Xenopus tropicalis: one gene and its partners. The protein of the gene in region 3 interacts with the protein of the main gene of each other region in a pairwise test. Links are inferred from orthologs where the notes say so. Each region holds a gene or a part of one and is shown on either strand. Other genes may lie near its edges.

The links.
Region 1: the proteins of syce1 (region 3) and bfsp2 interact in binary tests that used the Homo sapiens proteins (3 or more experiments, as listed by UniProt). The two-hybrid records come from large-scale screens. The link is inferred for Xenopus tropicalis from reciprocal best matches to the Homo sapiens genes SYCE1 and BFSP2.
Region 2: the proteins of syce1 (region 3) and washc3 interact in binary tests that used the Homo sapiens proteins (3 or more experiments, as listed by UniProt). The two-hybrid records come from large-scale screens. The link is inferred for Xenopus tropicalis from reciprocal best matches to the Homo sapiens genes SYCE1 and WASHC3.
Region 4: the proteins of syce1 (region 3) and lmna interact in binary tests that used the Homo sapiens proteins (3 or more experiments, as listed by UniProt). The link is inferred for Xenopus tropicalis from reciprocal best matches to the Homo sapiens genes SYCE1 and LMNA.
Region 5: the proteins of syce1 (region 3) and nme7 interact in binary tests that used the Homo sapiens proteins (3 or more experiments, as listed by UniProt). The two-hybrid records come from large-scale screens. The link is inferred for Xenopus tropicalis from reciprocal best matches to the Homo sapiens genes SYCE1 and NME7.

Annotation. Positions count from the first base shown.
Region 1 is NC_030682.2:52,661,461-52,667,368, reverse strand, and holds part of bfsp2 (phakinin), read left to right. Parts: intron 1-1,305; coding exon 1,306-1,462; intron 1,463-3,387; coding exon 3,388-3,549; intron 3,550-4,790; coding exon 4,791-4,916; intron 4,917-5,908.
Region 2 is NC_030679.2:49,098,134-49,104,662, forward strand, and holds the start of washc3 (WASH complex subunit CCDC53), read right to left. Parts: upstream 3,808-6,529; 5' UTR 3,741-3,807; coding exon 3,690-3,740; intron 1,520-3,689; coding exon 1,421-1,519; intron 1,066-1,420; coding exon 1,000-1,065; intron 1-999. UniProt on the Homo sapiens protein: Acts as a component of the WASH core complex that functions as a nucleation-promoting factor (NPF) at the surface of endosomes, where it recruits and activates the Arp2/3 complex to induce actin polymerization, playing a key role in the fission of tubules that serve as transport intermediates during endosome sorting.
Region 3 is NC_030684.2:647,330-653,696, forward strand, and holds the start of syce1 (synaptonemal complex central element protein 1), read left to right. Parts: upstream 1-1,897; 5' UTR 1,898-2,097; intron 2,098-2,253; 5' UTR 2,254-2,743; coding exon 2,744-2,843; intron 2,844-6,367. UniProt on the Homo sapiens protein: Major component of the transverse central element of synaptonemal complexes (SCS), formed between homologous chromosomes during meiotic prophase. Requires SYCP1 in order to be incorporated into the central element.
Region 4 is NC_030684.2:142,914,847-142,919,583, reverse strand, and holds part of lmna (lamin), read left to right. Parts: intron 1-1,868; coding exon 1,869-1,988; intron 1,989-2,109; coding exon 2,110-2,223; intron 2,224-4,737.
Region 5 is NC_030678.2:55,291,758-55,297,665, reverse strand, and holds part of nme7 (nucleoside diphosphate kinase 7), read left to right. Parts: intron 1-321; coding exon 322-488; intron 489-1,358; coding exon 1,359-1,469; intron 1,470-2,976; coding exon 2,977-3,027; intron 3,028-5,908. UniProt on the Homo sapiens protein: Possesses an intrinsic kinase activity. Displays 3'-5' exonuclease activity with a preference for single-stranded DNA. Does not seem to have nucleoside diphosphate kinase activity.

The DNA of each region.
Region 1 (5,908 bases), on a different chromosome or scaffold from region 3:
ACGATAATGTCGGCTCGTTTAGTGGGCCGACGATCGTTCGTACACCACCAACTATACGATAACTTAACGATAGCATCGGATCGTTCGGGAATCGGTCGTTTGTAAGTAAAAAATCGGTCCGTGTATGGCCACCTTAAGGCTTCAAGGTCTTTATCAATAAATCTCTTGGATGCCAATAACTTACTATGATCATCACAGAACTCTCTTCTAGGAATGATGAAATATGATTATGACCACATTTCCTTGTTAATTTAAGAAAACTATCCCTAATGGAGAGAAAACGTCTTCAAAGAGGCCTTTGAGACAGTGGTGTAACAAGTCGGCACCCGGCCCCCCAGCAAAAAGAAATTTTGGAGGGGCCCGGTGCACAGTCACTCTGACTCAGCACTCCACCCACCCACTGTTAGCCCCTCTGTCCCATTGTGTCCCCCGCTACCCTTATATCAGTGTCCTCTGCTCCCCATCTGCAGGTAAGAGAGCGGCTGGGGGTGGATTTTTTTGTACAGGTATGGGGCCTGTTATCCAGAATGCTCGGGACCTGGGGTTTTCCGGATAAGGTATCGTTCCGTAATTTGGATCTCCATAACTTAAGTCTTCTAAAAATCATTTCAATATTGAATAAACCCAAAAGGCTTGTTTTACCTCCAATAAGGATTAATTATATCTTAGTTAGGATCAAGTACAAGGTACTGTTTTATAATTACAGAGAAAAAGGAAATCATTTTTAAAAATTAGAATTATTTTGTTATAATGGAGTCTATGGGAGATGGCCTTTCCGTAATTCAGAACTTTCTGGATAACGGGTTTCAAGATAAGGGATCCCATACCTGTACTATTTTTGTCCCCTGTGCCCCCCCAGTGACTGTGGGGTCTGCTTCCCTTACAGTTATGCCACTGCTCTGAGAAGCAATTTACAATTTTACCTTTATGCACCCGTTTTCCTTCAAATTACAGAGTACAAAAGAAAAAAAACGAAGCCTTATACTCAAACTACGTTTTGGCTCCTGGGGTGCCAGAATCATTAAAAAATATATAAAAATTTGTGTTTAAAAATGGCGTAACATATGCCTTTTAATTCATAAAGTGATAGTGGTAATGCAGCAACACTGACACTCCAGGGAATTTCAATAACACCTTACTGCCACAATCTCTTTTTCAAGGCAACCCAGCCCAATCGGACCTGATTCAACAATTACGTCCAATTAACAGTATTGCACTGAAAAAGTAATGTCTTTATTATTAATTTTGTACATCTGTATCCTGTTGTTGTATTACATTCCCCCATAACTGTTATTTAAATGTTAGGTATGAGAACGAGCAGCCATTTCGAAAGGCAATTCAGGAGGAGATCCGGTCTTTGTACAAAGTGATAGATGATGCAAACTTGACCAAAAAGGATCTTGAAAGTCAGATAGAAAGCATGAAGGAAGATCTGGCTTCTTTGTCAAAGAATCATAAGGAGGTAACAGAAAAGACCGTGATCTACTCATTACAGTCATTATTTAAGCACCTGTATCATTTTTATAAATGAGCCTTTCCAGCTAATTAAAACAAGAGGGTATGGCTTCTTTGGCAGGTTCCATATTCAACAATTAATTCATTTCTAATATCAATGCTTTATCTTGAGCAGAAATAATAACTGGCCCCAATTCTGTTGCCTGCCTATAGAAAATGAATTGGCCCAGACTGGTGAAAATCAACTGAAAGAGCTCTTTATTTAGTTGGAAAACCAATGTTAACAATCGAGTTGTTAATTTGATTCTGTATTTTCTTTCATGAAATGCTAAAGCACACAGCATGTAGCAGAATAATAATATTTGACTTAAAGGAAAAATAAAGTCAAAGTCACTTGGGGGTGCCAAAATGTTAGGCACCCCCAAGTGACTTTGACCGCCTACCTTTTACCCCGGGCTGGTGCCCCTGTGAGGAAGGAACAGCACCAGCCCGGGGTAGCTGCCGGCGCTTCCTTTTCCTGATTCGCTGCGCGCGCATGCGCAGTAGAGTGAAAAGCCGAACTTAAATGTTAAAGTCGGCTTTTCACTCTACTGCGCATGCGCCCACCGCTGGCACTCAGGAAAAGGAAGCCAGGAAGACGGAAGCGCTGCGCTCCAGGTGCCCCGGGCTGGTGCTGTTTTCTCCTAACAGGGGCACCAGCCCGGGGTACGAGGTAAGCGGTTAAAGTCACTTGGGGGTGCCTAACATTTTGGCACCCCCAAGTGACTTTGACTTTCGTTTCCCTTTAAGGTAAATCAGGGGTTTTTCAGGGTCTTCTGCTGTCTAAAGCAGCAGACCTAATGCTGCCCTCCCATACCACCCCCCTGCATTTACCTCAAAGATTATGGGTATAGAATAAGCTTCCTGTTTGTCATGTCGAAACACTAGCTCTTCTTTAACTGCTCAGTTGTCAGTGGGATGCTTAGGGTTGTATTCAGCTATAACAGCTAGAGTTATACAGCAGGAAGCTTTGAAGACCAAGCTAAAATGGCAGCTGCAATATTAAGCAAACAGAGAAAGCTTCTAGGGCTCTTTACTCAGGTATGGTAATGCTTTCTGCAGAATAAATATAGCATTTTAGGTGGCAGTAATGTGGTGAATCTATTGGCAGTAAAATGCCAAAATGACTTTTCTTCTCCTTTAAAGTGATGCATACATTTAGAGAAAAGTTATAGCCTATGCAAGGTCTAATAGACCCTTTCCAATATTTATTAAAATGTCCATTATTGTATTTCATCTGGAAGGCTATAAGTTTTCTATTACTGATCTAGCATGTATGTCTATAACATTGCTGCATGCAATAATAGTGCCAGATCTTGATCGGGCAGGTTTAAAAGTCTAGTTGGGTGGACTGCTCCATTGCCACCAATATAATTCGATCATTTGGCCCAAAGGCCAAACGATCGCATTAGCCTACATGTTCCCCGATATCGCCCATCCCGTAGGTGGGGATATCGGGTGAAGATCCGCTTGCTTGGCGATCTCAATCTCACGTGTATGGGGACCTTAATGCTACTCTGAGTCCTCTGTCACAAGATACACAGCATTTCTTTCCTTCTATTCAGTACACGTGTTCTTCGGTTCTTCCTTCTTTTAGCTCAAACCTCCAGGGCTCAGCATGAGCATGCTCAGCTTGCTCCTCACTCACTCCCCCTTCTCCCATCTCTGCTGTAATGTGAGCACAGAGTACAGAGATGTAGACAGGAAGTAAAATAAGACCAAGCTAAAATGGCAGCTTCTATGGCTGTTTAACCAGTTATGGTAAAGCATTCTACAGAATAAATATAGGGTTCTAGCTTGCACTATTGTGGCTAATTTGTTGGGAAGAAACTGCATCAGTAGCTTTCCTTCTTATTTAGGAGTAGTTTGGGCCATAGACTGTGTGTTTTACAGGACGTAAAGATGCTGTATAAACAGTTGGCTGGATTTCAGCTAGAAGAAATGGATGTGCCAATTGGTACTGGACTTGATGACATCCTGGAAACCATAAGGATCCACTGGGAGAAAGACATTGAGAAAAACAGAGCTGAGACAGGTGTCCTTCTGCAAACAAAAGTATGTTATTTGGCATACAGCATGTATATGCTGCATAATGTATTTACCATAGTTTTATAGAGTTCTAGCATTTCACCAGTGAATAAATAGCAGGCATGTACATAGCATAACAAAATGTTTAATATTTAGATTTCCATATTTCAGGCTAAATATAATGTAAGGAGAACTGCAGGAAGGATTTTACCGCATTTGCCTGTCTTTGAAAAATTCTACATCTAACTTGAACGTTACTTTGGCATATAGAGATGGATCCAATCATCAGAGCACACCCTTTTCCGATTGATTGCATTCACTGTGTGCTGTGCTGTAACTTCACTATTCCTTCTTTATTCTGTGTTAATAAGTAAATTGGATATAGATGTTTCTAATTTGAAAAGCAATCCGTTAATTTTAAATTAAAAAGGCCTTTTTTAACCTTGAAACTTGACAAAGACAGACAGACATCCATTATGCCTATGTGGTGCTCCTCCTTAGCCAATTTACAAGTGCACAGCCTAATGTCCTCCTCATATCTCAGTGCACACCAAAACATTCCCTTTCTCTCGCCAATTTCTATTGTTTACCTGTGCTGCTTGTCCACAATCTAAGCTTTCGCCTTAGGTCTGGCTTCCTCCTCTGTTGTCTCTCTTTAAATGAGTAACCAGCAAAACTTGTGTTTTTTAAAAGTAAATCCAGGCCTCTTGGACCATACACTGTACAAATTTTGTTGTTTTACCTAGAACCTGCAAAGGGAGAAAGTAATAAAGTAAAAGATAACATAACTGTAAATGGCCTCTAGTACAGCAAAATACTATAGCCTCTGGCCAAATCTTCAGTCATGTTGTTAGCTCCTGCAATAAACAAAGACTGTTTATCTCCTGAGACTTGCATCCACTCATACAGCCATAATTCCCCCTCAGCCAGCTGAAGCTTTCAGCCAATCTCTGCAAAGAAGTGCAAAATGGATACTATTGGTGCAGTATGGCTATTTATAAAAAAAAACAAAAAACAATTCAAGTTTTGCTGTACATCTCATCACCCCATGCCCATATGAGGTACAGCCATCTCAAATTGCTAGAATCATATACCCAGACATTCATTGGCTCAAGCAATCAAGAGTAGCTGCAGCTGTGAGTTCACATTGATTGTACTAGAAAAAAGTGATCAAAATGAGAAATTCTCAGGAATTCACGTACAGTATGTAAGTGCAAACTAGCACAGTTATTTTTACAATTATTGTGCTGTATTTTCCCCAACCATAGTCAGTCGCACTGCCAGCTGCACAAGATGAGGTGGAGGAATTGGCAGAAAATCTAAAGGAAGAGTTTCATGACACCACCTGTAAAATCCAGAGCTTGCAAGCAGAGACAGAATCACTAAGGACATTGGTAAGGAACTTATTTATTAAATATCAAACTGGGGAAGTCAGAGAAAATCTTAATAGTTAAATATTTTCCACAGTAAGGGATTCTGTCATGATTTTATGGTGTACTTTTTATTTCTAAATTACACTGTTTACATTAAAATTTTATTCCTGAACTAATAAATATATGTATATTTTTAGTTATAATATCGGTATATAGGCAGCCATCTCAGTGCTTTGTGCCTGAGTCTGAGCTTTCAGAAGGAGACAGCACTACACATTAGAACTGCTTTCAGATAACCTATTGCGTCTCCTACTCCCATGTAACTGGAGGAGTCCCAAGCCGGACTTGGATTTTTTACTATTGAGTGCTATTCTGATATCTACTAGGAGCTGCTATCTTGCTGCCTTCCCATTGTGCTGATTTGCTGCTGGGAGGGGGGTGATATCACTCCAACTTGCAGCGCAGCAGTAAAGTGTGACTGAAGTTTATCAGCACAAAGGTCACATGGTTATTGCACCCTGGGAAATGAAGAATATGGCTAGCCCCATCTGAAATTTCAAAATTAAATCTAAAAAATCTATTTGTATTTTTTAAAAACGGATTTCAGTGCAGGATTCTGCTGGGGAAGCTCTATTAACTGATTAATTTTGAAAAAAACGTGTTTTCCCATGATGGTATTTTAGCCTCACCAAGCCAGAGATTTTAGGCTGCTGGGGCCAGTGAAAACTGGAAAGAGTAAAAAGAAAAGCAAATAATTCAAAAACTATAAAAAAAATACAAAATGAAGACCAATTTAAATGTTGCTAAGAATGTATGTATGTATATCTTTATTTATAAAGCGCTACTTATGTACGCAGCGCTGTACAGTAGATAGGTAGAGATGTAGCGAACTGTTCGCCGGCGAACTAATTCGCGCGAACATCGGGTGTTCGCAAGTCCGCAAATTCGCAATTTGGGTTCGCCGGCACCGAAAAAATCGCAAAACTTACGATAACGGTACGAATGCTCCGAAA
Region 2 (6,529 bases), on a different chromosome or scaffold from region 3:
GTAGAAACACATCAGGCAAAATGCCCAAAAAATAAGTAGGTTCTTTATAACTGCAGTTATAAAGCCAGATATAGATTTAGTTAACGATGAAAAGTAAAGAATTGTGTATCCCCTTACATACTAATATTTCTGTGTATGTGACCCCTGTTTCGACAGCTGAGTTTTACCCACTCAGTACAGCCCTCCATGTAACCTGACAAACATATATGGTTTCTGAACATGTTGATGCTTCTTTTCAGCTTTCAAATAAGAGTCAAGACCATTTCTCTGTGAGATCTCACTGGTCATGCTTGATATATTGAAATATTATCAGCATGCAGTATACCAAGGTTCCAGCTGTAGTTAGGCTTTCGGAGATTCACTACAGGCACCAAGGCCATCGAGCACTTTAAAGGCTTACATTTCAGAAGTAACTTACTCTTCTTGAAATTTCAACTTGAAACCTCTTAAAAGGAACAGTAACACAAAATTTTCACTTCCAAGCTTAAAAGGCAATATGGCGTTGGGTAGACTTCCAGTCTAATCCAGAAGTTCATTTAGTGCATTCTTCAGAGTCCTTTTTTAAAGTGATTAATAGGCTACTAGTGATCTGGCACAGAGATGGATAGGAGACGGACCTTTTCTCCTCTTTCGTTGTGTCTGTTACGAGTGCTGCATGGGAGAGATGCGCTGCGCTTGGGAGAAATGCGCTTGGGAGAAATGCGCTTGGGAGAAATGCGCTTGGGAGAAATGCGCTTGGGAGAAATGCGCTTGGGAGAAATGCGCTTGGGAGAAATGCGCTGCCTGAGCTCAGTAAATCTATGGCAAAGTAATTTAAAAAAAAAAAAAAATATGCTATTGCAATCTTTCTATTGTATATTTGCGAATAAAAGTATTTAGAAAGGATATATTGAATTTAAAAAGGTTGTGTTACATTTCCTTTAATACAGATTTTATTTGCTGAACGGTAAAATAATATGAGAAATACACTATGCTGAAACATACCACACAAGTACATACCTTTGCTTCCAAAATATTAAGGGTTGTTTCAATCTGCTGAATACGTAGGGACAAGGCAGAAAGTTTCTAAAACAATAAAAACAAAGTACCAACATTAAAGGTCTAAATAATGGACATATTCTGTAGCTCTGTGAGGGGTAAATAATCAAAGATGCAAATTAAATAGGATCACTGGCCTATGCAGCATATAGAGAAGACCCTGTTCATATGGGCAATGTAATGTAAGCTCCCACCAAGCCCGTGCAGCCATTAAATTACCTGAAAGCCCCAAAATGTACATGTACTGAGATTTCAAACGATAACATTTACCATAACATTCTCTCATCTGAACAGTGCAAGCTGCAATAGACTAAGTAGCACTTGGTTTCCAGTCAATGCTGTAGAAAAGAGGGAAAGCTAGAACACGCTAGGAATACAGTACCTCTTCACAAACTGTAGCAAACCGGTTAAGGAACTGAACAGAGTGCACAACAAACTGGTTCAAAAATGCCACTGTTCTTTTCTGCTGAATAGGTGGGACCTAGGGTTTATTAAATAAAAGAAAAAAGGTCAGTATACTGCATTTGCAAAAGGTATAGAACACAGTGCAAGCAACGGATATTAGTTTGAACAGGTATATAAAGGGTTCATTCATCCAGGCCATGGAAAACAATACCTAGTTGTGTTAAATCTAAAGCAACTTGAATTAGAAGCTCCTCCGATGAGTGGTGAAATGTTTAATAGAACTAGCCTACTAATGACAAACTGAAAGGCTTTTTGACCAAGGCAATATTTCCAAAACTCTAATCAGAATAACTCTATGGGGCCTGGCACATAATGACCAGCAGAGGCACTTTTGCAGTTCTGAAGTTACAGCTGCCTGCATCTTTGCAGGGCTCCTTGCTCGAGGATGACAAGATGTAAAGATGGCCATACACAACATATTTAAGCTGCTAATTCGGATCCTTTAGACCGAGCTTATCTGCCTGTGTATTGGGACAGGACTCCCCGATCATTAATGCGGTACTTGCTCCAACTTCTCATATCCCGTTCATTTTAATGTAATCTTTTGGCCCTAGGGCCAAACAATCACATTAGCACAATATCACCCGCTCAAGGTGAGCATATCCGGGGAAAGATTCACTTGTTAAGCGACGCCATCATACAAGTGAATTTTACCATGTATGGCCACCTTTACACAGCTGAACAATCGGGGTTAGTTAGTGCACATCATTGAGACACACCTTTAAAAAGAGTGGATATTGAGGGAAGGATTTAATAGTTTGCAATGAAAAGAGATTTTATCCAATTCTCCATAGGGTAACTAAACTTAAAAGTGTGAGTTCAAACAAATGCCATAGAATTATTCCACAATCCTGAAGATACAGAAGCCCAGTTAATTAGGATATCTCACTCTGCAGCCCATGGCTGACGGCCGTGTATACTAGCTGTGTGTATACACTTCTAACCAGAGTCCTCTGCACAACAGCAAAGGACAGTTATGTCTACAGGATTAATCAAAAAATAATAGTGGGTAGAAGGGCTTCGCTGTTAACAGGGATGCTGTATCCCTGGGATTATTAAGCAGCAGTATGACATAATAAAGCCCTTTGAAAAACACATTTTTAAGACCTTAAGCCAGCGGAGATGTTTTATAAACGGAAGAGGCAATGTACTTCAGTGTTAAGATGAAGACACACAGAGCTATTAGTAGCAGCTACTTGTCGTGGCTACTGTCTCTACGTATGTTTTAGCAGGGGCAATTCTCGGTATTGTCTAAGGCTGGGTATTTTCTGGCATTTAGTAGCCTTGACAAGTAGCTGCTACTAAGTAGCTCTGTGTGCCTTCACCGTTATTGTCTATGGCAAGGTATTTTCTGGAGTTTAGTAGCTGTGAAAAAGTAGCTGCTACTAGTAGCTCAGTGTGACTTCACCCTTAATGAGAGGGCTACTGCTTCTGAAGTACGCAAATGTGATTAAAATAGTTGTAGAGGCTACTGCATTATTTCCACCACTCTGTGTTAAAAAGACACCTGCATGTGATTTTTTGGGTGTAAGTTTGCTGTGCCTGTTGATGCAGCTCACAATGGGAACCCTGGAATTACGGCCACCTGCAAGCTAGAGGTAGCACTAGGGTTCCCCTGCATCATTAGATGCACAGACAGGCACAAGGTTACTTAGTTCAAATATAAGCAAGTGCACAAATACCTTTAATGAATCTCTTAATGATTGCATCCTTGATTAGCACCATCACAACTGCAGCCATAAACAAGCCCGATTGTGTCTGAGTCTGAATGGAGCTGACCAATGCTTTCGTGGAAATGGCTTTTTTTGAAACACATGATGTATGTGCCATTAAGGAAAAGCCTAGCCACAATTTGAACAACTGGACATCTTTACAGCAAGTGTAACACCACAAAGCACTATGAAACATCAGCTACAGACAAGTGCAGTAACAGTAAATAATCAAGTATATGGGACAGCAGGTCAGTTAAGACAGGAGCCATATGGATATGCTAAGAACATTACAGTACCAATATCATGACTGCACAGTAAATAAAATGAATGAATACACAGTAAAAGTGTAACTTGCCTTCCCTTAATGACTACAGGTTAGTGTAGAGCTGACTGACTAGAAAAATGCACATGAACACACATTACAATACACATTAAATCTGCCCATTCCCCTTCACTTCCCCCTAAAAGACGCACCTTAGTGAGGTCAATCCCAGAGCCCACTATAGGCAGCCCGTCTTCATCCATCAGCCCAGCTCCCCTTGCTCACTGCACTACCTTGTGTTGTGACATGGTCTGTCATGTGATTCCTTCCGTACCATAGAGAAGACTGAAGCCAGAGCGGCACACAGAACCTCTCTTGCTTATAAAACCTCCATGGCTAAAGTTGCTGCTGGCTTAATAATGATTCAGTGACTACAGAACTGCTTCTGTTTCCGACGTATTCATGTGACTAACGCCACTCAAAGCACTTGCTTTTTAGACTTAACCCACTCAATGCCAGATGAGTTTCTTAATTCGTTTGTATTAGTAGGCAGCAGATTGCAGCTTTTGAGCAGGAAGGGAAGTGCAGTAACAAATGAACTGGTTATGGGTGCCGCAAACTCTTTTGTACAGGGAGCATAATGTGTCGCCTCAGCCCTCTCCTGCTGGCTGCAGGGTTGTTGGTTTTTTTTTAATTATTATTACAAACCTTGTATTCAGTGGCTGCTCAATTTTTTTACTTTTATAAAAGTATATTATAGAAGGGACCTGGGCAGAGGTGTTTTACCTATAATGCCACCCTGAGACCATTTTTTTTTTTTTTGCATCAGAAGGGGCTAGTGCATCGCTATCACAGAGAGCACAGTAGCACTTTTTGCACTAGATAGGGTTGCCACCTTAAGCTGGCCATACACGTGGCGACCATCGGTCGCACGAAACATCGTCAGATCCGCCACACACCATTCAGGGCTGAATCGGCAGGTAAGGAGGTAGAAACAATAGGATTTCTACCTCCTGCCGATTCAGCGCTGAAGGGAGATTTTGGTCAGGCGCCTTCTATGGCGCCCGATCAAAATGTTCAAACTGGTCCGATCAGCGAGTTGGCCGTTATCAGCAGCTTCTTGCGATATCGGTCGACTCGCCGACATACCATACACGCACCGAATATTGTAAGTTTGAGGTTTTATTGTTTAAGGATTACCAGAGAAAAAAACTGCTGTTTCACTTGTGCTACTTTTAAAACTGGCACCAATAGTATTGGCCCATATCCATGGGTCAGGCAAAAAGTATACAGAGAAAAATAACTAATATAAAGTAAAATAGAGAAAACAAAAACAAAAGCCATAGTTGTCCCTTTAGGGTCCATATGACTAACTAGCAAAGCAAAGTACCATAATGTGACTGTTCTATCTGCCTATTCTATAAATTCACATTTGTTATGTCACAGGTGGCTTACTTTCATGCTTTTTGGAAAACTGAAGTGTTATAAGGAGCTCTTGATATAGTTTACTAACAGTAAAATATGGTGGTAGTAACATATTGGTGTGGGGTCTGCTTTTCTTTATGGCCGTGGTAGACGGGGAGATTAGTCGCCCGCGACAAAAAGATAACTGAGGCATGGGCAAATGTTTCTTTATTAGCAAGACAAGGATCTTTTAGAAACACAAGGATCCAAACATTAAAGGGAAACTCTGGCTTCCAAACCACACACCACCTCACACAGCACAGAAACCCCTAATATACCTATCACTGTAATCGGTTTCTTGAAAATGTATGAATAAATACAATTTTTATATGCTGAAATCCAACTCCAAAACAGTTCTCTTAATGCATCATTTAAAATGCTGGCAGGGGGTGGGACTAAACATTAATGTTATGAATGCTATAACAACTTTTCTACAGGTTACAGACAGCAACCAGGAACTACATAACCCACAATGCATTGCACTGTGATGTTTCTTTCCTTATTGATATCATGTGTGCAGGGATTGTGGGATTTGGAGGTTGAAGGCAGGCTGAGGACAGTCGACTACTGTTACAAAGTAGTCAGCCAGATCAGCAGGGGAACAGGGTGCTAGGCTTAGTAACTGTTCCAAACCATAGTAATACATACACAATTATGAAAATGCTGCATATTTTTTAAATTACATATTGCAGAATTGCTTGAAATGATATTTTCTTCTCAAAAAACTCAAGTTGTGTTTTGGTGGAGTTCCCCTTTAATGATTCAAGCTAGCCTTAAAAAAGGGTCCAGTTTGCTCCAAAATAATGTGTAATATTGATTTATATGTCAGAAGACTAAAAGCTAATATTGCTGCAAAAGGTGACACTATAAAATGTAAAAGTGTGGATACTAAATATTTGTAAAAACAGCATTTGTTTTATTTTATATTGCTCACAAGATACGATCATTTTGATCTCTGTGCTTAAAGATAATCTCTACTTTGTAACCTCTGCTTGTTATAGCATTACACCCTAAAAGCAATATTATATATATTATATATAGCAATATTGATTATGGTATTATTGAAACTGTTACTGGGTTGCTAGACTTATTTTTTAAGGACTGATTGTCCAAAATTATAGTATAATTATATACAAAGGTAAAAAAAAGTTATGCTTTGAACATTTGAATGTTAACTCCTGGTGTGACAACTAAATGTGTCTCTTTGTCACTGAACTCATGGGGCCAGCAGTGTGCCAAAAATCTGGATGTATAATATTCATATTTCCTGTGGTGTCTATTTCTTTATTACAGGATAGATTACTTATTAGGTTATGGCTTATATGATCCTGATGTCATTGGTTGATTTGCATTTTCATTTATTTCTACAGCAACATATTTAGGAGGAAAGTGGCTTCTCTCTACAGAAAGGCCATTGGTACAAAGGGCACTTTCAAGTCTTTGGTCACCTGGGTGATAAATAGCTCAATTGCCAGAAACAAAACACTTAAAATTGTATTGACTGCTTAGAGGACTTTAAGAGCAGGGACTTTATATACATTAGTTGCACACTACTAGTGAAATATAAATGGTATATCGAAATTAATAT
Region 3 (6,367 bases):
AGCCGGGGCCCCTGGACTAATCATGGGGTGTGGAGCAGGTTTCAGTGCATTGCCCCTCCTGGGGCAGTAGGTTTGATCTACCTGTGGGATATGGGCCCTGTCCCAGCGACTTCCCAGGGGACCCAAACGGTGGCGGTGGGCTCGGTTCCGAGCTGGGTTCCAGACTCTGGTGCTGAGATCTCAAGGCCCGGCGTGGGTACAGCAAATGGACTCCGTGGGACTAGTGATTGTGGGGCTGATATTCTGCCCTGACTGGCGGAACCAAGTGCCTTCCCTGGCTGCCTGTCAGCCCCCTGCCCGCAGCGACTGGCACAGACTCAGGGCTAGCGGGTACTGCTTTATGGCACAGTAGATTGGATAGTAATAAAGGCGCAATCTCTCAGTATATAGTGGTGCCGGGTATGGTTTGTCCCCCAGGATCTAAGCACCAATAACACAGGCAGCTGTACCATGTGACCCCTCCACTGCCCCCCACCCTTGTGCTGCCAGTCACACAGGGGCACAAATACTTGTCCTTATTTACCTACATGTACTCAGAATGGCAGTTATAGCCCCCCTGGGAGGTCCAACCTTGGGTCAGGGCCCCTCATACAATGCTTCCACATGTAGAGAAGCATTGCTTTGTTGGACTCCCTGCTGAGAACATCTAGGGGTGCAAATAGGAGATTACCCCAAATCTCAGCCTAATGGCCGTTGAAGCTTGGCTGTCGGGGTGTGTACAAGAGCAGATAGGCATTTCCTTATTGTAGCTTTGCAGCAGTGCAGTAATCCATAGCTGCTACTCAGCCTTATTCAGTCTGTTATGGTAAGAATATAGAATATATAGATCAGATCTGTTCTCTGGGGGAACCTACATCCCACACACAAACGTCTTTGTGAGAACTAATAACTGTGTTACAAAGAGGTTGTGGGTAATTACTAAATTGCACAGGGAGGGGGTATCTCCCATGCACGCCAGGTTAGTGAGGCAACGCAGAGACATGTAGTGAGAAAGGCTGGGGGGCCCAGCAGGTGTGTGAGTGACACAGAGTGAGAGGCTGGGGGGCCCCTCTCCCTGGGGAAGTAGGAGTAGCCGGGGGCCCAGGATGTGTGTGAGTGACACAGAGTGAGAGGCTGGGGGGCCCCTCTCCCTGGGGAAGTAGGAGTAGCCGGCTGGCCAGGATGTGTGTGAGTGACACAGAGTGAGAAAGGCTGGGGGGCCCAGCAGTTGTGAGTGACACGAGTGAGAAAGGCTGGGGGCCCCTCTCCCTGGGGAAGTAGGAGTAGCCGGGGGCCCAGGATGTGTGTGAGTGACACAGAGTGAGAAAGGCTGGGGGGCCCAGCAGGTGTGTGAGTGACACAGAGTGAGAAAGGCTGGGGGGCCCCTCTCCCTGGGGAAGTAGGAGTAGCCGGGGGCCCAGGGATTGTGTGAGTGTCACAGAGTGAGAAAGGCTGGGGGCCCCTCTCCCTGGGGAAGTAGGAGTAGCCGGCCCAGGATGTGTGTGAGTGACACAGAGTGAGAAAGGCTGGGGGCCCCTCTCCCTGGGGAAGTAGGAGTAGCCGGGGGCCCAGGATGTGTGTGAGTGTCACAGAGTGAGAAAGGCTGGGGGGCCCCTCTCCCTGGGGAAGTAGGAGTAGCCGGGGGCCCAGGATGTGTGTGAGTGACACAGAGTGAGAAAGGCGGGGGGCCCCCCTCTCTGGAAGTAGGAGTAGCCGGGGGCCAGCAGGTGTGTGAGTGACACAGAGTGAGAAAGGCTGGGGGGCCCCTCTCCCGGGAAGTAGGAGTAGCCGGGGGCCCAGCAGGTGTGTGAGTGACACAGAGTGAGAAAAGCTGGGGGGCCCCTCTCCCTGGGGAAGTAGGAGTAGCCGGGGGCCTCCCAGCAGGTGTGTGAGTGACACAGAGTGAAAAGGCCTGGGGGGCCCTCTCCCTGGGGAAGTAGGAGTAGCCGGGGGCCCAGCAGGTGTGTGAGTGACACAGAGTGAGAAAGGCTGGGGGGGCCCCTCTCCCTGGGGAAGTAGGAGTAGCCGGGGGCCCAGGATGTGTGTGAGTGACACAGAGTGAGAAAGGCTGGGGGGCCCCTCTCCCTGGGGAAGTAGGAGTAGCCGGGGGCCCAGCAGGTGTGTGAGTGACACAGAGTGAGAAAGGCTGGGTGCCCCTCTCCCTGGGGAAGTAGGAGTAGCCGGGGGGCCAGCAGGTGTGTGAGTGACACAGAGTGAGAAAGGCTGGGGGGGCCCCTCTCCCTGGGGAAGTAGGAGTAGCCGGGGGGCCAGCAGGTGAGTGAGAAAGGCTGGGGGGGCCCCTCTCCCTGGGGAAGTAGTAGTAGCTGGGGGCCCAGCAGGTGAGTGAGTCTCAGGCTGAGAATGAACCCAGATAGAGGGCCCACCAGCCTATATATCAGATAACTCAGAGAAGCCCAATTGGTGCTGGTACCAGAGAATGAGCCCCTCGGGGCAGTAATGGTGGCCCCTCGGGGCAGTAATGGTGCCCCCCACATATGAAGGGTACGTGTGGGGTGAGAGCACTGTGCAAGTGTCAGGCCTCACAGACTCTTTCCCTGCTGGGGGGGACCTGGACTCCATTTTGTTACCTGTAGGTTTGTACTGCTGTGGGTGGGGCACACAGGGACAGCACAATTCTATTGGAGAACTTTCCTTCCCAGTCTGGGGTCAGTAGCCAATCGAAATAAGGCACGCCTCCAGGCACAAAAAGAGCGGGAAAAGCACAGTTAGTGCCTCTGGTCTGTCTGAAGCACCAACCAACAACATGGAGGCAGCTCCCCCCGCTGGGACTGAGGCAAATCCGCCCGTGTCCCCCCCTCCCTGTCACTCACTGGCTGCAGCCGCCTCCTGGGATTCAGAATCAGGTGACTTACATGGGGTACTGTACCCCCTGTCTGTAATATCCCAGGGACCCAACTGTACCCCCTGTCTGTAATATCCCAGGGACCCAACTGTACCCCCTGTCTGTAATATCCCAGGGACCCAACTGTACCCCCTGTCTGTAATATCCCAGGGACCCAACTGTACCCCCTGTCTGTAATATCCCAGGGACCCAACTGTACCCCCTGTCTTAATATCCCGGGACCCAACTGACCCCTGTCTGTAATATCCCAGGGACCCAACTGTACCCCCTGTCTGTAATATCCCAGGGACCAACTGTACCCCCTGTCTGTAATATCCCAGGGACCCAACTGTACCCCCCTGTCTGTAATATCCCAGGGACCCAACTGAACCCCAAACCCCTGTCAGCAATATCCCAGTGACCCAACTGTACCCCAAATCCCTGTCAGCAATATCCCAGGGACCCAACTGTACCCAATCCCTGTCTGTAATATCCCAGGGACCCAACTGTAACCAAACCCTGTCCAATATCCCAGGGACCCAACTGTACCCCAAATCCCTGTCAGCAATATCCAGGGACCCAACTGCCCAAACCCCTGTCAGCAATATCCCAGGGACCCATGTACCCCAAATCCCTGTCTGCAAATATCCCAGGGACCCAACTGTACCCCAAATCCCTGTCAGCAATATCAGGGACCCAACTGTACCCCAAACCCCTGTCAGCAATATCCCAGGGACCCAACTGTACCCCAAATCCCTGTCTGTAATATCCCAGGACCCAACTGTACCCAAATCCCTGTCTGCAATATCCCAGGGACCCAACTGTACCCCAAATCCCTGTCAGCAATATCCCAGGGACCCAACTGTACCCAATCCCTGTCAGCAATATCCCAGGGACCCAACTGTACCCAAACCCCTGTCAGCAATATCCCAGGCCCAACTGTACCCCAAACCCCTGTCAGCAATATCCCAGGGACCCAACTGTACCCAAATCCTGTCAGCAATATCCCAGGGACCCAACTGTACCCCAAATCCCTGTCAGCAATATCCCAGGGACCCAACTGTACCCCAAATCCCTGTCAGCAATATCCCAGGGACCCAACTGTACCCCAAATCCCTGTCTGCAATATCCCAGGGACCCAACTGTACCCCAAATCCCGTCAGCAATATCCCAGGGACCCAACTGTACCCCAAAACCCTGTCAGCAATATCCCAGGGACCCAACTGTAACCCCAAACCCCTGTCAGCAATATCCCAGGGACCAACTGTACCCCAAACCCCTGTCAGCAATATCCCAGGGACCCAACTGTACCCCAAACCCCTGTCAGCAATATCCCAGGGACCCAACTGTACCCCAAATCCTGTCAGCAATATCCAGGGACCCAACTGTACCCCAAACCCCTGTCAGCAATATCCCAGGGACCCAACTGTACCCCAAACCCCTGTCAGCAATATCCCAGGGACCCAACTGTACCCCAAACCCCTGTCAGCAATATCCCAGGGACCCAACTGTACCCCAAACCCCTGTCAGCAATATCCCAGGGACCCAACTGTACCCCAAATCCCTGTCAGCAATATCCCAGGGACCCAACTGGTACCCCAAATCTCTGTCTGTACCCCATCCCCCTGTCAGCAATATCCCAGTGACCCAACTGGTACCCCAAATCCCTGTCAGCAATATCCCAGGGACCCAACTGGTACCCCAAATCCCTGTCAGTACCTCAGGTACCCCGTCCCCCTGTCAGCAATATCCCAGTGACCCAACTGTACCCAAATCCCTGTCAGTACCTCAGGTACCCACCGTCCCCCTGTCAAGCAATATCCCAGTGACCCAACTGTACCCCAAATCCCTGTCAGTACCTCAGTACCCCCGTCCCCCTGTCAGCAATATCCCAGTGACCCAACTGTACCCCAAATCCCTGTCAGTACCTCAGGTACCCCATCCCCCTGTCAGCAATATCCCAGTGACCCAACTGTACCCCAAATCCCTGTCAGGACCTCAGGTACCCCATCCCCTGTCAGCAATATCCCAGTGACCCAACTGTACCCCAAATCCCTGTCAGTACCTCAGGTACCCCATCCCCCTGTCAGCAATATCCCAGTGACCCAACTGTACCCCAAATCCCTGTCAGTACCTCAGGTACCCCATCCCCCTGTCAGCAATATCCCAGTGACCCAACTGCGTACCCCCAAATCCCTGTCAGTACCTCAGGTACCCATCCCCCTGTCAGCAATATCCCAGGACCCAACTGGTACCCCAAATCCCTGTCAGTACCTCAGGTACCCCATCCCCCTGTCAGCAATATCCCAGTGACCCAACTGTACCCCATCCCCCTGTCAGCAATATCCCAGGGACCCAACTGGTACCCCAAATCCCTGTCAGCAATATCCCAGGGACCCAACTGGTACCCCAAATCCCTGTCAGCAATATCCCAGGGACCCAACTGTACCCCAAATCCCTGTCAGCAAAATCCCAGGGACCCAACTGTACCCCAAATCCCTGTCAGCAATATCCCAGGGACCCAACTGTACCCCACCCCTGTCAGCATATCCAGGGACCCAACTGTACCCCAAATCCCCTGTCTGCAATATCCCAGGGACCCAACTGTACCCCAAATCCCTGTCTGCAATATCCCAGGGACCCAACTGTACCCCAAATCCCTGTCTGTAATATCCCAGTGACCCAACTGGTACCCCAAATCCCTGTCAGTACCCCATCCCCCTGTCAGCAATATCCCAGTGACCCAACTGGTACCCCAAATCCCTGTCAGTACCCCATCCCCCTGTCAGCAATATCCCAGTGACCCAACTGTACCCCAAATCCCTGTCCAGGGACCCACTGTCCCCCCTGTCACAATATCCCAGGGACCCAACTGTACCCCAAATCCCTGTCTGCAATATCCCAGGGACCCAACTGTACCCCAAATCCCTGTCAGCAATATCCCAGGGACCCAACTGTACCCCAAACCCCTGTCAGCAATATCCCAGGGACCCAACTGTACCCCAAATCCCTGTCAGCAATATCCCAGGGACCCAACTGTACCCCAAATCCCTGTCTGCAATATCCCAGGGACCCAACTGTACCCCAAACCCCTGTCAGCAATATCCCAGGGACCCAACTGTACCCCAAATCCCTGTCTGCAATATCCCAGGGACCCAACTGTACCCCAAATCCCTGTCTGCAATATCCCAGGGACCCAACTGTACCCCAAATCCCTGTCAGCAATATCCCAGGGACCCAACTGTACCCCAAATCCCTGTCAGTACCTCAGGTACCCAACTGTACCCCAATCCCTGTCAGCAATATCCCAGTGACCCAACTGTACCCCAAATCCCTGTCAGTAACCTCAGGTACCCCATCCCCCTGTCAGCAATATCCCAGTGACCCAACTGGTACCCCAAATCCCTGTCAGTACCTCAGGTACCCCATCCCCCTGTCAGCAATATCCCAGGACCCAACTGTACCCCAAATCCCTGTCAGTACCTCAGGTACCCCATCCCCCTGTCAGCATATCCAGGAAACCCAACTGTACCCCAAACCCCTGTC
Region 4 (4,737 bases), about 140 Mb from region 3:
GGAATAATCAGTGCAGGTACTGTCGGACAGGGGCAGATATAAATGGAAACATTATATATATTTATACTCATTATGGTGTTACTGGTCCTATAAATATGAATGTGGGGCAACTGGGCACTGTAATTACCCTGTAAGCTTTAATCTTACTGAACCTGATCCATAAAGATGGGCCCCTGTACTGGGGGGGGGGGGGGGTCAGTCTGTATCAGGAGGAAACTGGGTCGGTTCTGTAATTATCCCCCTCCCTCCCAATAGCCAGAAGCTCCGCACTGTGTTCTGTTCCTTATAAATAAATAATCAGGGAGCCCCGAGCTGCTCCTTATGGTCTGTCTGCCTTATGTGGTACTAGAGCGCCCTCTGCTGGGAGACAGATGCATTCATTTCCTTACACAGGGAACTCTGAGTATCACTCATGTATTATAAGGGATAATGTACCCCCTACTGTAAATGATAAGGATATTAGCAGTCACTGAGGGGTTCTGTGCCCCCCATATAAAGGCACAAGGCTGCAGGCTGAGTTATACAGGGAACTCTGAGTATCACTCATGTATTATAAGGGATAATGTACCCCCTACTGTAAATGATAAGGATATTAGCAGTCACTGAGGGGTTCTGTGCCCCCCATATAAAGGCACAAGGCTGCAGGCTGAGTTATACAGGGAACTCTGAGTATCACTCATGTATTATAAGGGATAATGTACCCCCTACTGTAAATGATAAGGATATTAGCAGTCACTGAGGGGTTCTGTGCCCCCCATATAAAGGCACAAGGCTGCAGGCTGAGTTATACAGGGAACTCTGAGTATCACTCATGTATTATAAGGGATAATGTACCCCCTACTGTAAATGATAAGGATATTAGCAGTCACTGAGGGGTTCTGTGCCCCCCATATAAAGGCACAAGGCTGCAGGCTGAGTTATACAGGGAACTCTGAGTATCACTCATGTATTATAAGGGATAATGTACCCCCTACTGTAAATGATAAGGATATTAGCAGTCACTGAGGGGTTCTGTGCCCCCCATATAAAGGCACAAGGCTGCAGGCTGAGTTATACAGGGAACTCTGAGTATCACTCATGTATTATAAGGGATAATGTACCCCCTACTGTAAATGATAAGGATATTAGCAGTCACTGAGGGGTTCTGTGCCCCCATATAAAGGCACAAGGCTGCAGGCTGAGTTATACAGGGAACTCTGAGTATCACTCATGTATTATAAGGGATAATGTACCCCCTACTGTAAATGATAAGGATATTAGCAGTCACTGAGGGGTTCTGTGCCCCCCATATAAAGGCACAAGGCTGCAGGCTGAGTTATACAGGGAACTCTGAGTATCACTCATGTATTATAAGGGATAATGTACCCCCTACTGTAAATGATAAGGATATTAGCAGTCACTGAGGGGTTCTGTGCCCCCCATATAAAGGCAAAGGGCTGCAGGCTGAGTTATACAGGGAACTCTGAGTATCACTCATGTATTATAAGGGATAATGTACCCCCTACTGTAAATGATAAGGATATTAGCAGTCACTGAGGGGTTCTGTGCCCCCCATATAAAGGCAAAGGGCTGCAGGCTGAGTTATACAGGGAACTCTGAGTATCACTCATGTATTATAAGGGATAATGTACCCCCTACTGTAAATGATAAGGATATTAGCAGTCACTGAGGGGTTCTGTGCCCATATAAAGGCACAAGGCTGCAGGCTGAGTTATACAGGGAACTCTGAGTATCACTCATGTATTATAAGGGATAATGTACCCCCTACTGTAAATGATAAGGATATTAGCAGTCACTGAGGGGTTCTGTGCCCATATAAAGGCACAAGACTGACAGTAAGGAGATAACAAGTTACATTTCTCTTTCAGATCTGGGCATCAGGCGCCGGAGCCACAAATAACCCCCCCACTGATTTAGTATGGAAGGCCCAGAGCTCCTGGGGAACAGGCGACAGTATTCGCACCGCGCTGCTCACGTCTAACAATGAGGTGGGTGTCAAACTCCCAAACTGGCTCCGCCCACTGGAGAAGTCGGGGGGGGGTTCAGTTGCACATCAGTCACATACGGAAGGATTTGCCCAGAACCAAAACTGACTCTGTGTCTCTATAGGAGGTCGCTATGAGGAAACTGGTGCGCACTGTCGTCATCAATGATGAAGATGGAGATGATGAAGATGATGACGATGTGGGACATCACCACCACCACCATCATCATCATCATCATGTAAGTACTGAGCCTCTGGGAAGGGACTGGGCTGTGGGATAGCAGGTATAGTAGGGAGAGATGGTGCCTATAGTAGCAGTGGGGGGATAATAGCCTCTGGGAAGGGACTGGGGCTGTGGGATAGCAGGTATAGTAGGGAGAGATGGTGCCTATAGTAGCAGTGGGGGGATAATAGCCTCTGGGAAGGGACTGGGGCTGTGGGATAGCAGGTATAGTAGGGAGAGATGGTGCCTATAGTAGCAGTGGGATAATAGCCTCTGGGAAGGGACTGGGGCTGTGGGATAGCAGGTATAGTAGGGAGAGATGGTGCCTATAGTAACAGTGGGATAATAGCCTCTGGGAAGGGACTGGGGCTGTGGGATAGCAGGTATAGTAGGGAGAGATGGTGCCTATAGTAGCAGTGGGGGGATAATAGCCTCTGGGAAGGGACTGGGGCTGTGGGATAGCAGGTATAGTAGGGAGAGATGGTGCCTATAGTAGCAGTGGGATAATAGCCTCTGGGAAGGGACTGGGGCTGTGGGATAGCAGGTATAGTAGGGAGAGATGGTGCCTATAGTAGCAGTGGGGGGATAATAGCCTCTGGGAAGGGACTGGGGCTGAGGGATAGCAGGTATAGTAGGGAGAGATGGTGCCTATAGTAGCAGTGGGGGGATAATAGCCTCTGGGAAGGGACTGGGGCTGTGGGATAGCAGGTATAGTAGGGAGAGATGGTGCCTATAGTAGCAGTGGGGGATAATAGCCTCGGGGAAGGGACTGGGGCTGTGGGATAGCAGGTATAGTAGGGAGAGATGGTGCCTATAGTAGCAGTGGGGGGGTAATAGCCTCTGGGAAGGGATTGGGGCTGTGGGATAGCAGGTATAGTAGGGAGAGATGGTGCCTATAGTAGCAGTGGGGGATAATAGCCTCTGGGAAGGGACTGGGGCTGTGGGATAGCAGGTATAGTAGGGAGAGATGGTGCCTATAGTAGCAGTGGGGGGATAATAGCCTCTGGGAAGGGACTGGGGCTGTGGGATAGCAGGTATAGTAGGGAGAGATGGTGCCTATAGTAGCAGTGGGGGGATAATAGCCTATGGGAAGGGACTGGGGCTGTGGGATAGCAGGTATAGTAGGGAGAGATGGTGCCTATAGTAGCAGTGGGATAATAGCCTCTGGAAGGGACTGGGGCTGTGGGATAGCAGGTATAGTAGGGAGAGATGGTGCCTATAGTAACAGTGGGGGGATAATAGCCTATGGGAAGGGACTGGGGCTGTGGGATAGCAGGTATAGTAGGGAGAGATGGTGCCTATAGTAGCAGTGGGGGGATAATAGCCTCTGGGAAGGGACTGGGGCTGTGGGATAGCAGGTATAGTAGGGAGAGATGGTGCCTATAGTAGCAGTGGGATAATAGCCTATGGGAAGGGACTGGGGCTGTGGGATAGCAGGTATAGTAGGGAGAGATGGTGCCTATAGTAGCAGTGGGATAATAGCCTCTGGGAAGGGACTGGGGCTGTGGGATAGCAGGTATAGTAGGGAGAGATGGTGCCTATAGTAGCAGTGGGGGGGATAATAGCCTCTGGGAAGGGACTGGGGCTGTGGGATAGCAGGTATAGTAGGGAGAGATGGTGCCTATAGTAGCAGTGGGGGGTATAATAGCCTCTGGGAAGGGACTGGGCTGTGGGATAGCAGGTATAGTAGGGAGAGATGGTGCCTATAGTAGCAGTGGGGGGATAATAGCCTCTGGGAAGGGACTGGGGCTGTGGGATAGCAGGTATAGTAGGGAGAGATGGTGCCTATAGTAGCAGTGGGATAATAGCCCTCTGGGAAGGGACTGGGGCTGTGGGATAGCAGGTATAGTAGGGAGAGATGGTGCCTATAGTAGCAGTGGGATAATAGCCTCTGGGAAGGGACTGGGGCTGTGGGATAGCAGGTATAGTAGGGAGAGATGGTGCCTATAGTAGCAGTGGGATAATAGCCTCTGGGAAGGGACTGGGGCTGTGGGATAGCAGGTATAGTAGGGAGAGATGGTGCCTATAGTAGCAGTGGGGGGATAATAGCCTCTGGGAAGGGACTGGGGCTGTGGGATAGCAGGTATAGTAGGGAGAGATGGTGCCTATAGTAGCAGTGGGGGATAATAGCCTCTGGGAAGGGACTGGGGCTGTGGGATAGCAGGTATAGTAGGGAGAGATGGTGCCTATAGTAGCAGTGGGGGGGATAATAGCCTCTGGGAAGGGACTGGGGCTGTGGGATAGCAGGTATAGTAGGGAGAGATGGTGTCTATAGTAGCAGTGGGGGGATAATAGCCTCTGGGAAGGGACTGGGGCTGTGGGATAGCAGGTATAGTAGGGAGAGATGGTGCCTATAGTAGCAGTGGGATAATAGCCTCTGGGAAGGGACTGGGGCTGTGGGATAGCAGGTATAGTAGGGAGAGATGGTGCCTATAGTAGCAGTGGGGGGATAATAGCCTCTGGGAAGGGACTGGGGCTGTGGGATAGCAGGTCTAGTAGGGAGAGATGGTGCCTATAGTAGCAGTGGGAA
Region 5 (5,908 bases), on a different chromosome or scaffold from region 3:
TTATTTATAATTTTTGCTGTAAAATACTTTCTAAGAATTTTATTTGTTTGCAGTATGATGTACATCTTTATACCAATAACTTTTTCTTAGAATACAATAATTTTTTCCTGCTGTCTATAGTTGATAGCTTGTACATAATTACCTATATATTATATATTTATTAGTGAGTGCTTCTTGTTTTAAAAAGACACATTTAAAACATCAGATTATTATAAATTAAAGAACTTGAAACGTTTAAACTTGAAAACTGATGGATTTAATCTATGTGATCTCCTGTGTTAAATATTTTGGCTATGCCCAATTTTTATTTCTTTTTTACAGTATGACATTAAAAACCATCGAGTGTTTTTAAGACGAACAAAATATGATGAAATTTGTAAGGATGATTTATTTGTGGGCAACAAAATTAATGTTTTTTCACGGCACCTTCATTTAATTGACTACGCAGATCAATATACTTCTCGAAAGGTTGGAAGCAAGAAGGAAAAGTAAGTGGATCTTGGCTTTATAATTTGCTGTGAATCTACTATGCAGACTTTTTTTTACAATCACAGTCTCAACACAATATATAAGCTATGTTGTTAGATAATCTTTGCTTAAAGCAAATGGGCTCCTACCACATGATTGTGGTTCTAATATATAGTAACATGCTTGGATTAAGCATATGAACACTGGGACTACTTTTTGGCTTGTAGCTTGTGGTAAGACATCCTGTTGGCCAGTGCACTCACCTTTTGTGCTATATACACTGTAATGACAGGGGTGGGCGAATCTTTCCATTAAAGGCCATTAAAAGGGTATGTACTTTGTGCTTTGACCTTCTTATCCTTCTTTTATTCTGTAACCCTTGTTTGTTAAATTATTGTAAGACCCTGGTTTGTTATAAATGATTGTAAAGTGCTGCATAACAGAAAACTAAATTATATGCATGTTTTTTTTAAATACTTTTCATCAGGAAATGTGTAGCACTAAGATCTACATTGTCTTTAATTTAGTTACTCTTATATTTTATAGTCCACTCTAAACAGCCTGCAGAATTGTGCCTGCCACAAAAGAAATGCCTATGTTGGCACAAATTTATGGTATCTTTTAATATGAGCTATTAGAAAATCCAGAGAGTTGTCCCTGCTATAGAGAGTGCCTGACACCTTTTTCTTGCTTTTTGTAACTGGATATTAACCCAGACAATAAAAGAGGGAGGGAAAGCTTTTCAGGAGCCAGCCTGAGAGACAGTGGCTAAAATTGCAGCTGATTACAGTAATAAATTCTCAAAAGCTTGCAGAAATAGAAAATGCTAATACATTGTTTTACCTAAAGCAAATGCATTCTAAAATATATTTATATTTTCTTTATTGCAGAACATTAGCTTTGATAAAACCAGATGCTGTAACAAAAATGGGTTCAATTATTGAAGCCATACTGGACTCAGGGTTTGTAATCTCAAAGGCTAAAATGGTTTTGCTCTTAAGGTAAATATTATGATAAAATTGATGCAGTTGTGCTGTAATTTCTTTGCATATTTTGAAATGAATATGTTGGAACTTTATAAATTATGGGTAATAAGTTAATAATTAGTTAAAGGGGTTGTTCACGGAACAAGTCGCCGGTGGAAAGGCCAGTGCATTGCTTCGGCTTTCCAGAGTCGCGTGAAGTTGCCTGCAGGAGGAAACTTTGTGCAACTTTGGAAGCCAAAGCAATGCGTAGGCCTCTCCAGCGGAGACTCCTGTTGTCGCTGGTGGAAAGGCATTTCGGAGCAGGTAGTCGCCACAGTAGCAGAGATCTATTGCGGGCGACTAACTCTGTGGGCCATCAGCCTTGAATTAACTTTTAATAGGATCTAGAGAGTGCTATTCCAAAACAGTTTACAATTGGTCTTCATTTTTTATTTGTGGGTTTTTAATTATTTAGCCTGTTGTTCAGCATCTTTCTTGAGTCAGAAGAGGAAGGCAAATAATTTAAAAACTATAAAAAAAAACCAAAAAACAAAGGCCGATTTAAACGTTGCTAAGAACAGTTCATTCTATAGCATACTAAAAGTTAACCTGAAGAATGAAGCACCCAGAGGGGACCAGATTTGGGTAAATTATGGAAGTCTTTTTCTAAAATGTCCATGTTTTCAAATCAGAAAGGTAGGTAGGACAGTTGTATCTGCCAGCCTATGTCCACCAATGGAGAAATACCTGAATCTGAGAACACTGCCTCCCTTTGACAGCACCACTGTAGATGTGTCCCATGACAAGAGGCGGCATGGAAAGTTTTAGTTAGAAACCAGTACATATTAAATTAGCCTCAGCTGGTAGTGAATGACAGCTATTGCCCTATTGTTTGTCTCATAAAGTTAAATTAGTATTTTTTTATCCACTTTCTTAAATCAGATCAGCCACAATGTTAAATACCAGTGTTTGTTTTTCCACCTTAATCAGCATTTATACCTCTCTTTGATGTGCTTTACTTTAATGGTGTCATTAAGCTCTAGTAAATTATATTAGCTTGCGGTTATTTCTCAGTGTGGTTCATATCAATTCTGCAAATCCACCCCCATTATATTAGCTGCCTAGAACTGGAAATGGGCTGAAAGAAACTGTCATAAGTTAAAGTACACAATACAGAGGGTAAGGCTGGACAAAGTGAATAAATTGTGTGTGTGTGTTTATACATATATATAAATAAAAATACCTCACACTGTCCGCACTCCCTTTAATTGTCCAAGATTCAAAGATAACGGCGTGGATAACGTACGTACGTACGTACGTACGTACGTACGTACGTACGTACGTACTTACATACACACAGTTTCTTTTCTTTACTTTGCTGATTTCACTTAAACTAGCTTAGATGTGTTATTTGGCCATGGGTGCCAAATCTTACTCATTCATCTGTATAGTGTATCCCCTAATGTAAAATATAAGACAAAATTTGCCAGGGGTAAAGAGGAAAAGAAATGCAGCTGTAACATCTCTTTATTCTTTTTTACAGAACTGAAGCAATGGACTTTTATAATGAACATCATTCAAAATCATTTTTTAGGTATGGTTTTAAAGTTGATCTACAGAAGGTAAAGTGGGATTAAAATTCAGTTGCGGTACACTGTGGACAATTTTGTCACCATATTTGACATATAAAGTCCCATTTACGACTGTGAGTGCAGTGTGCAATTTTTAGCTGCAATTTGCCATTTTTTTACCCACAACTTCAATGTCATTGTGGCTTGTCTTAAAGGAACAGTAACACCAAAAAATGAAAGTGTATAAAAGTAACTAAAATATAATGTGCTGCTGCCCTGCACTGGTAAAAGTTGTGTGTTTACTTCAGAAAGTCTACTATAATTTTATATAAATAAGGTGCTATATAGCCATGGGGGCAGCCATTCAAAGGAGAAAAGGCACAGGCACATAGCAGATAACAGATAAAACACTATTGTATTCTACAGAGCTTATCTGTTATCTGCTATGTAACCTGTGCCTTTCTCCTTTTTTCCAGCTTGAATGGCTGCCCCCGTGGCTACACAGCAGCTTATTATATAAATTATAGTAGTGTTACTGTAGCAAACACACCAGTTTTACCAGTGCAGGGCAACAGTACATTATATTTTTATTACTTTAAAGCTCTTTTATTTTTTAGTGTTACTGTTCCTTTAACCACAGTAGTATCTGATACAACAAAATTGAAGCAAGTGCAAAATTTCATTGTGGGGATTGCATTATTCAAATGGCATTACTGTGTCTTTTGCAAGTGTCTCTACATTTGTTGCACCTATTGACGCAGCCTGCTATGGGAACCTTGGAATAACTCAGGCTGTAGCTCAAGTTCCTTTTGTAAATATGCACACCTGTGAACAACCTGCTTATGGAAAAATATATATGCTTTGACATAGTTTTAGAGATTCTCTTTTATTATTAGGGAAGATTAAGGTATCCTAACTGGATGTTCATGTCCCTGTTTTGTTTGGATTTTTTTTATTTTGTTTACACCCCCTGGTGTTAGTCCACTTGCCTTTGCTCACTTAACCATGTGTCCTAGTGCCTATTTATAAGGCAATTATCATACAACCTGAGCATTCTCAAATTTGCAGTTTATCACATGCTTTCCCCTTCAACTGTACCCTTACACTTACTCTGGCCCACAGCTAATCCAACTTTGGCACACTATTTCAACTTGCTGCCTTTAAAGGGCATGTAAAACCCACACACAAAAATGTAATCAGTGAACAGCCTCTGAAATCTTTCAATACCTGCCACTCTGGTTGTCCAGAGGTTAATAGGAAGGCTGCAACATACCCTTAATCACTTAGATTTCCTTCTCCTCCTGAAACCCACTTGGGCCCCCTCCCATCAGGAATTTGCTTTGGCTATTGGCTTGTGGGCATGCTCAGTTGTTCTAAACTCAGATTACTAAACACATCCTTCAGACTAGCAGCCAGTGAAGAGATGGCATTGCTGGTTTCCATATAAACTCAGCTCTAGCTGTCTGCTTCTCTTTTTTTCTCCTAACCTCCTCTCCTGAGCTCAGCTGAATGCTGAATAAGGGTATGTGTGTGTATGCTGTTTGCAGATATAAATGTATCTGATTATGCATCAGAGGAAAAATGGCCACCGTGTGAAAGCTGCTATTTGCTTTAGGAAAATGTGATGGTGATGGAGGGGGATATATGCAGTACAAATAATGCCATTATGGTGGGGGTGACATGCCCAACTGATATACCTTGTAGGCAAATGTAGGCTTTACATGCCTTTAAAGATGCCTCCAGATCAGCCAAAAACAGTTGAGAAGGTCATGGACAGGCCCTCACTTGCTCCAATTGAGATTCATGCCTGTACTGCTACCAAAGAAGTTCTACTCACTAAACAACCTCTGTAATCCTAATTTCCACCCACCTTCTAATCCTTTACTGGCTTCATATAACACCACACCCACCACTAGTACCACAAATACAAAACAGATAACATTGGCCTCAGCATTCCATTACACAAGAAATTCTATATACCTACAGTATATCAGCACAGATATATCACTTTTCATTCATTTTCTGCTGATATATAATGTCAACACTCCTGAATTCAACCCCTATTCCAGTATTTTAAATCCTCATACACAAGTACTAATTTCTTTTATTCTCGGAAATCCTTTGTTGTTATTGTTTCCATCTTAACCTCTAGTTACCTTTTAGCCATTACTCAATTTTGCCTACAACATTGTGTACATTGCCAGGTCCAAATGTTAGGCAATGAGAAGGCATTTTTGGGAGATTTGTTGTCCGCAGTTGCAAAGATTTACTGCAGGCGACAAAACTTCTTATCTGCCAGGGTGCTTATGGGGAAAGAAACACAAAGAAACAACACATTTGGAGAGAAGGAAAAGTCAGTCTACATAATAAGGTTTCTTCCCACAGTGACTTTGACAGTGGGAGGAAGTTGCTGTAAGAGATCCTACTCAATGGTGATGTGATGCTTTTCGTAAGCAAAGATTTTTTAATGTTTTTGGTTTTTTTTTTTAAATAAACACAAAGACAGAAGAAGCCAAAATTCAAGTTGCCTTGGGTTAAACATATGTAAATATTATGTCTTCAATGTTAAAGCCAGTGCCTCACAGGGCAGATCCCACCCCTGCATTTAAAGAAGCTTATTGATGGGCCTGCACCTGGAGCCATTGTGCCTGGGTACAGTACACAGTGCAGACACAACCATAAGCTTTATTGAGTGCAAGGGAGGATTCTCAGCCTGCGTTTATCCACAGGCCAAGAATCCGCCCCATGTGGCATTGGCCTAAAAACAGAGAAGGTGGTTTCTGGAATGTACAAAATCTCTTCTGCATGGGCAACCAAACACCCCAAACTACCTTTTTATTAAAGACTATATAAATGTCTGCCTGCTTCTTGTCAGTCTATTCTCATAATCACTGAAAAAACCCA